2 linked regions of the Oreochromis niloticus genome follow. The protein of the gene in region 1 purifies or fractionates together with the protein of each later gene. This does not show direct contact. Links are inferred from orthologs where the notes say so. Each region holds a gene or a part of one and is shown in the gene's direction. Other genes may lie near its edges.

Region 1 (3,922 bases):
GTTTTTTAACACCAAAGAGAATCTGTTCTTTATGAGTAAGGCCAGATTTGCTCTATTATGCAAAAATATTGACCCACTCCTCATTTCTTTAGATGCTTATCCTTATCAGGGTTGCAGGGAGGAGCCAATCTATGCTTTTATTGCATTAATAGTGTGTTTGTGATCATTGTCATGCTGAAAAATGAAGCCTGAAAAATGCCAATCAGATACTTGACAGACTCTACTGACTTCCAACATATTGATGAGGATTTGGCCAAAAGCTTCACATTTGGATTCATCACTCCAATAAGACCTGGTGCCACTGATTTTCTGTCCAGTTCTTGTATAATTTGGCATACTTCAACCTTTATTCTTCCTTAAGAATGGCATCTTGATCAGGTACTGTTTATCTGCTATAGATGGTTTTTAGGCATACTTCTTCTTTTGTCCTTCACTTGTCCAGTTTCCTCAAACATTTTAAGAACACACTGCCTATCATGCAGAGATATGCCATTTTTCAGCTAAGAGCTCTTTGTTAATCCCTTCTTTGGTGGAAAAATACTGAAAAAAATGAAAATTCATCTCAAACTGTGCTTTTTGGCAATTTCTATATTTTCAACTAAAGAAACTGGAATAATTTGTGTGTGTGTTTTGTGACAGGCTACTAGTAACAGTGCTTAAAGGTACAATTTAAAATTGTTTCTTGCTAAATTATCTGTTAAGTTTAGACACAACACTGATCATACCTTGATTTAGAAGCTTTTTTTATTCTTGAAGTTTTCAGCATAAAGTGGATTCATAAAAAGAAAAAAATCAGGCATCAGGTACAAAGACTGAAAATAAGTGAAACAGCAGCCAATGCCCAAAGAAAAAGCCTGGAGCACTATTGCTCAAGACCACTTTAAAAAGATGACATGAAAATCTGTCTCATTAAAAGCTAAATACAGAGAAACTAGGGGTGGGTCAAGAATTTTACAGAGTACCATAAATATGAATTTAAAACTTGGTTTTTAATACCGAGTCGGTGATTCTATGTTTTGGCACATTCACACATTATCAGACAAAACACTTAGACCTTCTAAGCCTGATTAAGTCCTCCAGTCGTGTTTAATACAACACTGATACAGCGGCCACAAGTCTGTGCTGTTTTGTAACCGTTTAAAGCACTCTGGGTGTTTGTACGTGAGCCACTAGAGGAGCTCTTCTCGGGCTAGGAGTAGCGTGAGATCCAGCGACGTGAACGAGGTTATTCACTTGAATGTAACAGCTAGCGTGATGATGCTAAGCTAGCTGTCAGCCTGGCATCCACGGGTTTTGCTGCCGAGTTTTAGCTACCAGATGCTCCCGGTCGTATCCTGCTGGCCGTCTTGACATTCCCCTCAACATTCCTGGACGAATTCGTGTCGACTGACCAGAGTCCGCGAATTCAGGTCCACTCCTAATCTAACCTTTCCCCCCGCTAGCGTGACTTAGCTCACCGGCTAACAAGAGTTCAACACTCGGGAGAACCGGACTGACGAGGTAAGTTAGCATACGGAGGCTAGTGGGATGGACAGGCTAATGGTGTAGCTGTCACCGGGAGTAAAGGCTTCTTGTACGAGGAAAAAAATAATCTTAGAAAGGAGGCCTTCTGGTAAGCGTGTGGACACAGTCGTTGTCATTATATCCCTCAGAATTCCCCATCTTGCTGTTAGGCCTGTGTAACACCGGCGAACTGTGAGCTAGCAATTTGATTGACTTGCTAGTAACGTTTTGCTAATGTTAATTTACCGAGTGAAGCAGCTGACCTAGTAATGGTAATATTACCGGAGCTAGCTTAGCAAGTCCGTACTGGTTTAGAAGAATGTTGTACGTCTGTTTGGGGCAAAAAAGGACTTAAGTGAAAGTCAGCTTGCTAACGTTAATTTGCAATCATTATTTAAGAGAAACTAGTAAAGAAAGCTTCTTGGTGACAGGGTTTATCTAAAGAATCCAAGCCAGCGGCTAACACGTACATTACGAGTTAGGTTAGGTTGCTTTAAAAGTTAACAGTTAACTAGCTGTCCTATGTGAGCAGTGAACCAGCAGCTTCCAGTATGTATGCTGTAATGTGTGTAGTTTTTAAGTCTACCGAGACATCGTTCTGGTCTCCTGCTAGCTGGGAGTGTGTTTGCCGTTTGTTACTAAAGCTGAGTTTTTGCTGTGTTTTTGCTTCGCAGAGTTCAACTTAAGGACCACACCCAAACATGTCCCTTCATCAGTTTCTGTTGGAACCCATCACCTGCCACGCATGGAACCGCGACAGGACACGTAAGGCTCCGAGACTGTAGCTATGAGAAATGCTCACTTTAACACAACACATTTCAAGGTTAAGGTCTTAAAGGCTTTGTCTTCATTGGGTGGTCAGGTCACAATTACAAAGAATGCTGTTAGAGCAATTTCATCTGAACAGAGATAAGATTGGCTCGGTTTATTTTGGGTAACAGGTTGGAATTTGGCATGTATCAGAAAACTTGTCTAACTTGTTTGTTATCTGTGTGCTCATCGTGTTAACCAGCTGGTTTCTTCTGTTTTGTTTTGTTTTGCTTCAGAAATTGCCATCAGTCCCAATAACCATGAAGTTCATATCTACAAGAAGAGTGGCAACCAGTGGGTTAAGACCCATGAACTGAAGGAACACAATGGCCACATAACAGGTGGTTAATCAGATGTTTTTAAGACTGATCATTTTTTACTTGTGAACTGAAACGTAACATTAAATGTCTCACCCAACATGTCAGTAAAATTAATGTTTCTGAAGAATTCTTTAACAAGTAAAACCACAGCTAAGGTGGGATTGTGTGATCCTAAAGGGGTTTCTTTTTGTCTAAGCTATTAGTAGAGTTGTTAGTGACTGCTTATTGGCTGTGTTATAGGCATTGACTGGGCTCCCAAAAGTGACCGCATAGTGACATGTGGAGCAGACCGTAATGCCTATGTGTGGTCCCAGAAGGAGGGGGTATGGAAGCCCACACTGGTCATCCTCAGGATCAACCGAGCGGCCACCTTCGTCAAGTGGTCTCCATTGGAGAACAAGTTTGCAGTGGGCAGTGGTGCTCGACTCATCTCTGTCTGCTACTTTGAGTCCGAGAACGATTGGTGAGACTATTAATCCAGCAGTGGCATATTTTAAATGTGTTGATGTTCTTGTGAATGTTGTGAATAATGTGTTTCTTTTAAAGTGCAGCATTTAAGTTCAGTCTTGCCATTTATTTGAATTATTAGTGCATTATTTTGAGCTCATACGTCCAGACCAAACTGCTTTACCTCAATTTTCACACCTGCTTTAACAGGTCAGAGCAGCCACACAGCCTGTGTGAAACGCTTATCTGAGGTGTGGCTTGAACATTCATACAGAAGTGCGTCATCAAGAGTTGGGAGGCATGTCTCTCTCAGCAGTTATAGACTGTGAAAAAATCTGTTGGTAGCCACATTGACTTGCTACCAGTATCATTACAGAAATGATACTTGTCATTATAGTTATAAGGCTACACCTGTAAATGTCATAAACACAAAAGTAGAGTTGATTTTTTTTTTTTTCATTGGCATGTTATGATAGCATTTGAAGAAGAATGAGGGTGATACATGTGTGGTATGCAATCACAGCACAAACCCAGTGAAGGCTATAATTATGTGAGGACGTTAACAGAGCATTAGGTGAAGGGCAGCCTTTCTCTGCTCTCTACTTATCTCTCTGGTGGAGAGAGAGCTGTGCTGCAAGGAAGTTGTCATGCAAAGGTAGAGGTAGGGGGTGTGGTCCAGTTTAAAACAAAATGGGAATTGAATGTTTTCACCTAGTGTAAGAGCAAAGCGTTGCATTCCAACCAGCTGATGAAGATACACTCCCAGGATTAAAGGACTTATTTTTTTCCCTCCACCCTGTATTTAGTACTTCCTTTTTATTTTTGCTGTGCCTCATAATTGA
Region 2 (3,922 bases), on another chromosome or scaffold:
TGCAAAATTAAAACCAATGGAAGATGGACAAGTAAAAGTTCAAAGCCATCAGGTGCTCAGTTTAGAAAAAAAAGAAAAGAAGAAGAGGAGAAACAAGCAAAAGATGCAGGTAAGCAGATGTGTCATTGGATAATGGCAGGTCATCCTGAAACAATCAGAATCAGAATACTTTCTTAATCCCTAAGGAAATAATGTGGGTTACAGTTGCTCCAAGAAGAAATGGTAAAAATAGTAACAGTAACAGACTAAACTCCAAACAATATATACAATAATATAATATTAATTAGTCATTGTCAATTGTTGATTTGTCCTGTTCTCATTGTATGACACATTATAATGGCTGTTTGGTAGCCGTTTGCATACTATCCATACTTTCTCTCTCTTCATATCCGTGTGTGTGTGCGCATTTTTCTCTGGTGAAATTCAGTATGGTTCCAACAACAGTTTTATGTTAATGTACAATCCTTAATGCGTTTCGTGTGTGTGTGTGTGTGTGTGTGTGTGTGGGGGGGGGGGGGGGGGTGGTAGAGGGAGTGTTCGACAAACAGGCTAGGACCGCCACTGGTCACCACACCACATCATCTGCCTCCATTTCACCCTAACTCAGCATTCTCTTCTGTCCTCCTTAAAAACATCCATGAACCATCTATATGGTTTCCTCTTTTCTTCCTGCCTGGCAGCTCCATATTCATTTTTCATTGTCCAATATATCGACTATCCTCCTCTGCACACGTCCAAACCAGCTCAGTCTTGCCTCTCTAACTTTGTCTCCAAACTACTCAACATGAGCTGTCCCCTCTAATGTATGTCATGTCAGTTCTAATTTTCTCCTTCCTACCACACCAAGTTTGGCCTTCTGTCTTTTTGTCTCTTACATCTTCAAACCATGCCCCACAGCAGGTCTCACTACCATCATGAAAACCTTCCCTTTCTCTCCTGCAACGGTCTGTTCTTAATAAATAAATAGTCTTTTTTTTAAACAAGTATGAACAAGTATTTCCTGATTAGTACAGTTGTATGGCCCTAAATTGTGGCTGATGTACCACTGAAACTTATTAAGTCGCGGACACCTGTTTCTTTCTTACCAAGAAAATACTGTCATTACGAATTTATTACAGGCATTATTTTAGACGCCCCAGTCTTATTGGGGCCCTGCGAGTAAAATACGCGGAAGTTGCAGGCGGAAGTAGCCTCGACGGAAGCGGTCGGGTCTGTCAGGGCAGAAAAAAATTTGCAGAATTTGACACAAAGAGGTGAACCCCACCAAACAACACCGCTAATCCCCCCTTTTTCCTCGACACCGGCGTCCGCTGCGATGATCCTGTTAGAAATCAATAACCGCATTATCGAAGAGACGCTGACGCTCAAGTTCGACGGCGCATCCAACGGGTGAGAAATCATCGCTACACCTGGCTAGCACTGCTAGCTTCCCCTTTAGCTTCTTACAGAAGATGACGGCTTCATTTAAAGAAACGGGGAAGATCGGGTGCAGCAGGTTCAACACAGTTAAGCTATGTGGTATTAACGAGTATTTATTTTTTTTGAAGTGCCGAAATACACATAGAGTTAGCTTCTTGCTCTGCCTCGACGAGCCGGGGTGTGTCTGCACGGGCGGTGTTGTGCCAAAAATTGTAACCCCGTTGAATTTCATCTCCCCTGGCGGTTCTCCCACATACCTTGGAGATAAAACAACAAAGCACACAATAGATACTTTGGTTATATTTACACTGCACTGCCAATAAATACGAAGCAAATGTTTTTAAAAGGTTACATGGCCTTAAGGGAGCTAGCGGCAATAAAGCTAATTTGTAAGCTTTTTTTTAATGATTAAGCTGTTCCACACTGGTTGATAACGTCATATGCAAAATCACAAACAGCCTATAGTAACTCCATAAAAAAAATATATTGTATATTTTTAAATAAAGTGAGGACTTCATTTCAGTTTTCTTTTTTTCCGCACACAACAGGTTTGTCAAGGCAAACTATCTGCTCATTTCCGGTGTCACTCCACCACGGCAGATCAGATTATATGCCCGCGGTGTTTTGACTTAATAAAGACCATTTATTTGCCTTCCGCGGCACTACATAAAGCTTTTAGTGGCTAAATGATAGCCAACCATCGCCCATCTCTCTCTGTTTCTCCTGCTTCCGCATTCCTGTAGTCAGGCTGAGTCAAGTCTGCGCTCTTTGCACAGCCAGCGGCTGTAGCTCCTCAGAGCATGAGCGTGTGGACAAGTCGTTGCAGCATCCACCTTTACACTGTTGATTTGCTACTGTGCATTCTCCAGGCATTGCTTAGATTGTTTAAAAAGAGACTGTCATGTCGAGGTGATTCATTAAAGTTGTGAATCCATCATGAGGTGATTACATAAAACATTAAAATGTTTTGAATTTTAGCAAGCGCGCTGCTTCATCTTGCAATTAATTTGTGTCCCAGTGCTTGGCTGACAGCGGGAGTAATACCAGTATTGTACAGTACTGTAACTTGAACAGCAACTAACAGGTCCTGATCAGATTATAATGTAGAGGAAATAATGAGGGCCAGTTCTGATTAACTCCCCATCCATGTATTTCACAAACTAGTAACCAGCTTACCGTGAAGACACCCTTTACTAAACTACTCTACATGCGTTGTAAAGCTAGCGATACCGTTGAGCTTTTATGGTTTTATCAGAGGAAGTGATTGAGTTTGGTCAGCTGCAACTGCTACTAACAGTTCTTTTTATTTCTCCTTTTGCAGAATAATGTCTGCAAATTTGGGAGCATTTGTTTATTTTATTAAAAAGGCAGAATTTCCCTAAAAATGGCCAAAAACTTTCCTAAGACTTGGCAAGGCCCCTGAACATAGGAATCAATTGATATTGCCTTGTTGACCAATGTTGAGCTATTGCCATATAAGTTGTTGACATTTATGCTGCTTGATTCATGCCAATGGTTTGTATTGATGGCAAATAAAGTCCAATTTTAAAAGTAACAAGAAGACGGGAGAAACACCTGTCAACCATGTTATCGTCTTTTTAAAAAACCAAATATCGGTATTAGTATAATTTTTAAAAAACTATTTTGGATGGGCTCTAATATTTATATCGTTTTAATCATAGAAATATGATAATGTTTTTAAGAATCTAGTGGCAGTAATTGTAACAAACAGGAAACAAAGCAATAACTAGCTAGCTTGTTTGAAGTGTGTGGCTTTGACTGGTGCGATGACCCTTTTTGTTCCCTTTTTAACCATCAAGGCTACTTAAACCTCCTCACTACCTCCAATGTTTCTTTATTTTTTTTGATGGTGTTTAAGATGGTGAATTGAACACCAGCTTTGCAGGCTTAACAAACTTGTCTCCTCATGTTGTTTCTTTTTCTCCTTGCAGAACCAAACCAGAGGCCGTCGATGTGACGTTTGCAGGTGAGCGTCTCATGCAGCAGCATGCTATTTTTGCCCCGTTTGTAATATATTTGAATAACCATGTTTAGATTTTAACACACAGTTTTGATAACATGGCTCTCTCAGCCGAGTTGAGTCGTCATCATGAGTGTGCCCTTTTTGGTGTCTGGATAAGGAAGTTCTCCAAATTAAATCAGACCAAATAATATGAGCCAGTGTTGGATGTGTTGCATGACATTTCTTTAAATGACTTCAGTGTATGTGTGTTGTGTCATGCAGTATTTTGTGTAACCCGCTGTGAAAAAGGTTGTAATGTGATGTTTGGATTTGGGCAATGCCTGATCAGACACAGTCAAGTTGTCTGAACACCTGTTTCAAAGTTTGAAGGGTGATGCTGATGGTGGTGTTGTCTTCAGTTTCCTATTATGCAGCTAGCTTATTGCACATCTTCCTGTAATCAGTGTTGAATCTGAAAACATGGACTGAGATTACTAACTAAGACATCTCGTTTGTCTAAGTGAGGAATGAAAAGATCGA

Evidence for each region.
Region 2: the proteins of arpc1a (region 1) and arpc2 purify together in Homo sapiens (affinity purification with mass spectrometry; 8 studies listed by BioGRID and IntAct, counting the BioPlex papers as one, with this or other methods). This does not show direct contact. The link is inferred for Oreochromis niloticus from reciprocal best matches to the Homo sapiens genes ARPC1A and ARPC2.

Annotation. Positions count from the first base shown.
Region 1 is NC_031971.2:12,856,680-12,860,601, forward strand, and holds the start of arpc1a (actin-related protein 2/3 complex subunit 1A), read left to right. Parts: upstream 1-1,153; 5' UTR 1,154-1,500; exon of another isoform or gene 1,501-1,612; intron 1,613-2,177; 5' UTR 2,178-2,204; coding exon 2,205-2,268; intron 2,269-2,549; coding exon 2,550-2,654; intron 2,655-2,873; coding exon 2,874-3,096; intron 3,097-3,922. UniProt on the Homo sapiens protein: Probably functions as a component of the Arp2/3 complex which is involved in regulation of actin polymerization and together with an activating nucleation-promoting factor (NPF) mediates the formation of branched actin networks.
Region 2 is NC_031986.2:14,309,923-14,313,844, reverse strand, and holds the start of arpc2 (actin-related protein 2/3 complex subunit 2), read left to right. Parts: upstream 1-1,162; 5' UTR 1,163-1,315; coding exon 1,316-1,389; intron 1,390-3,371; coding exon 3,372-3,406; intron 3,407-3,922. UniProt on the Homo sapiens protein: Actin-binding component of the Arp2/3 complex, a multiprotein complex that mediates actin polymerization upon stimulation by nucleation-promoting factor (NPF).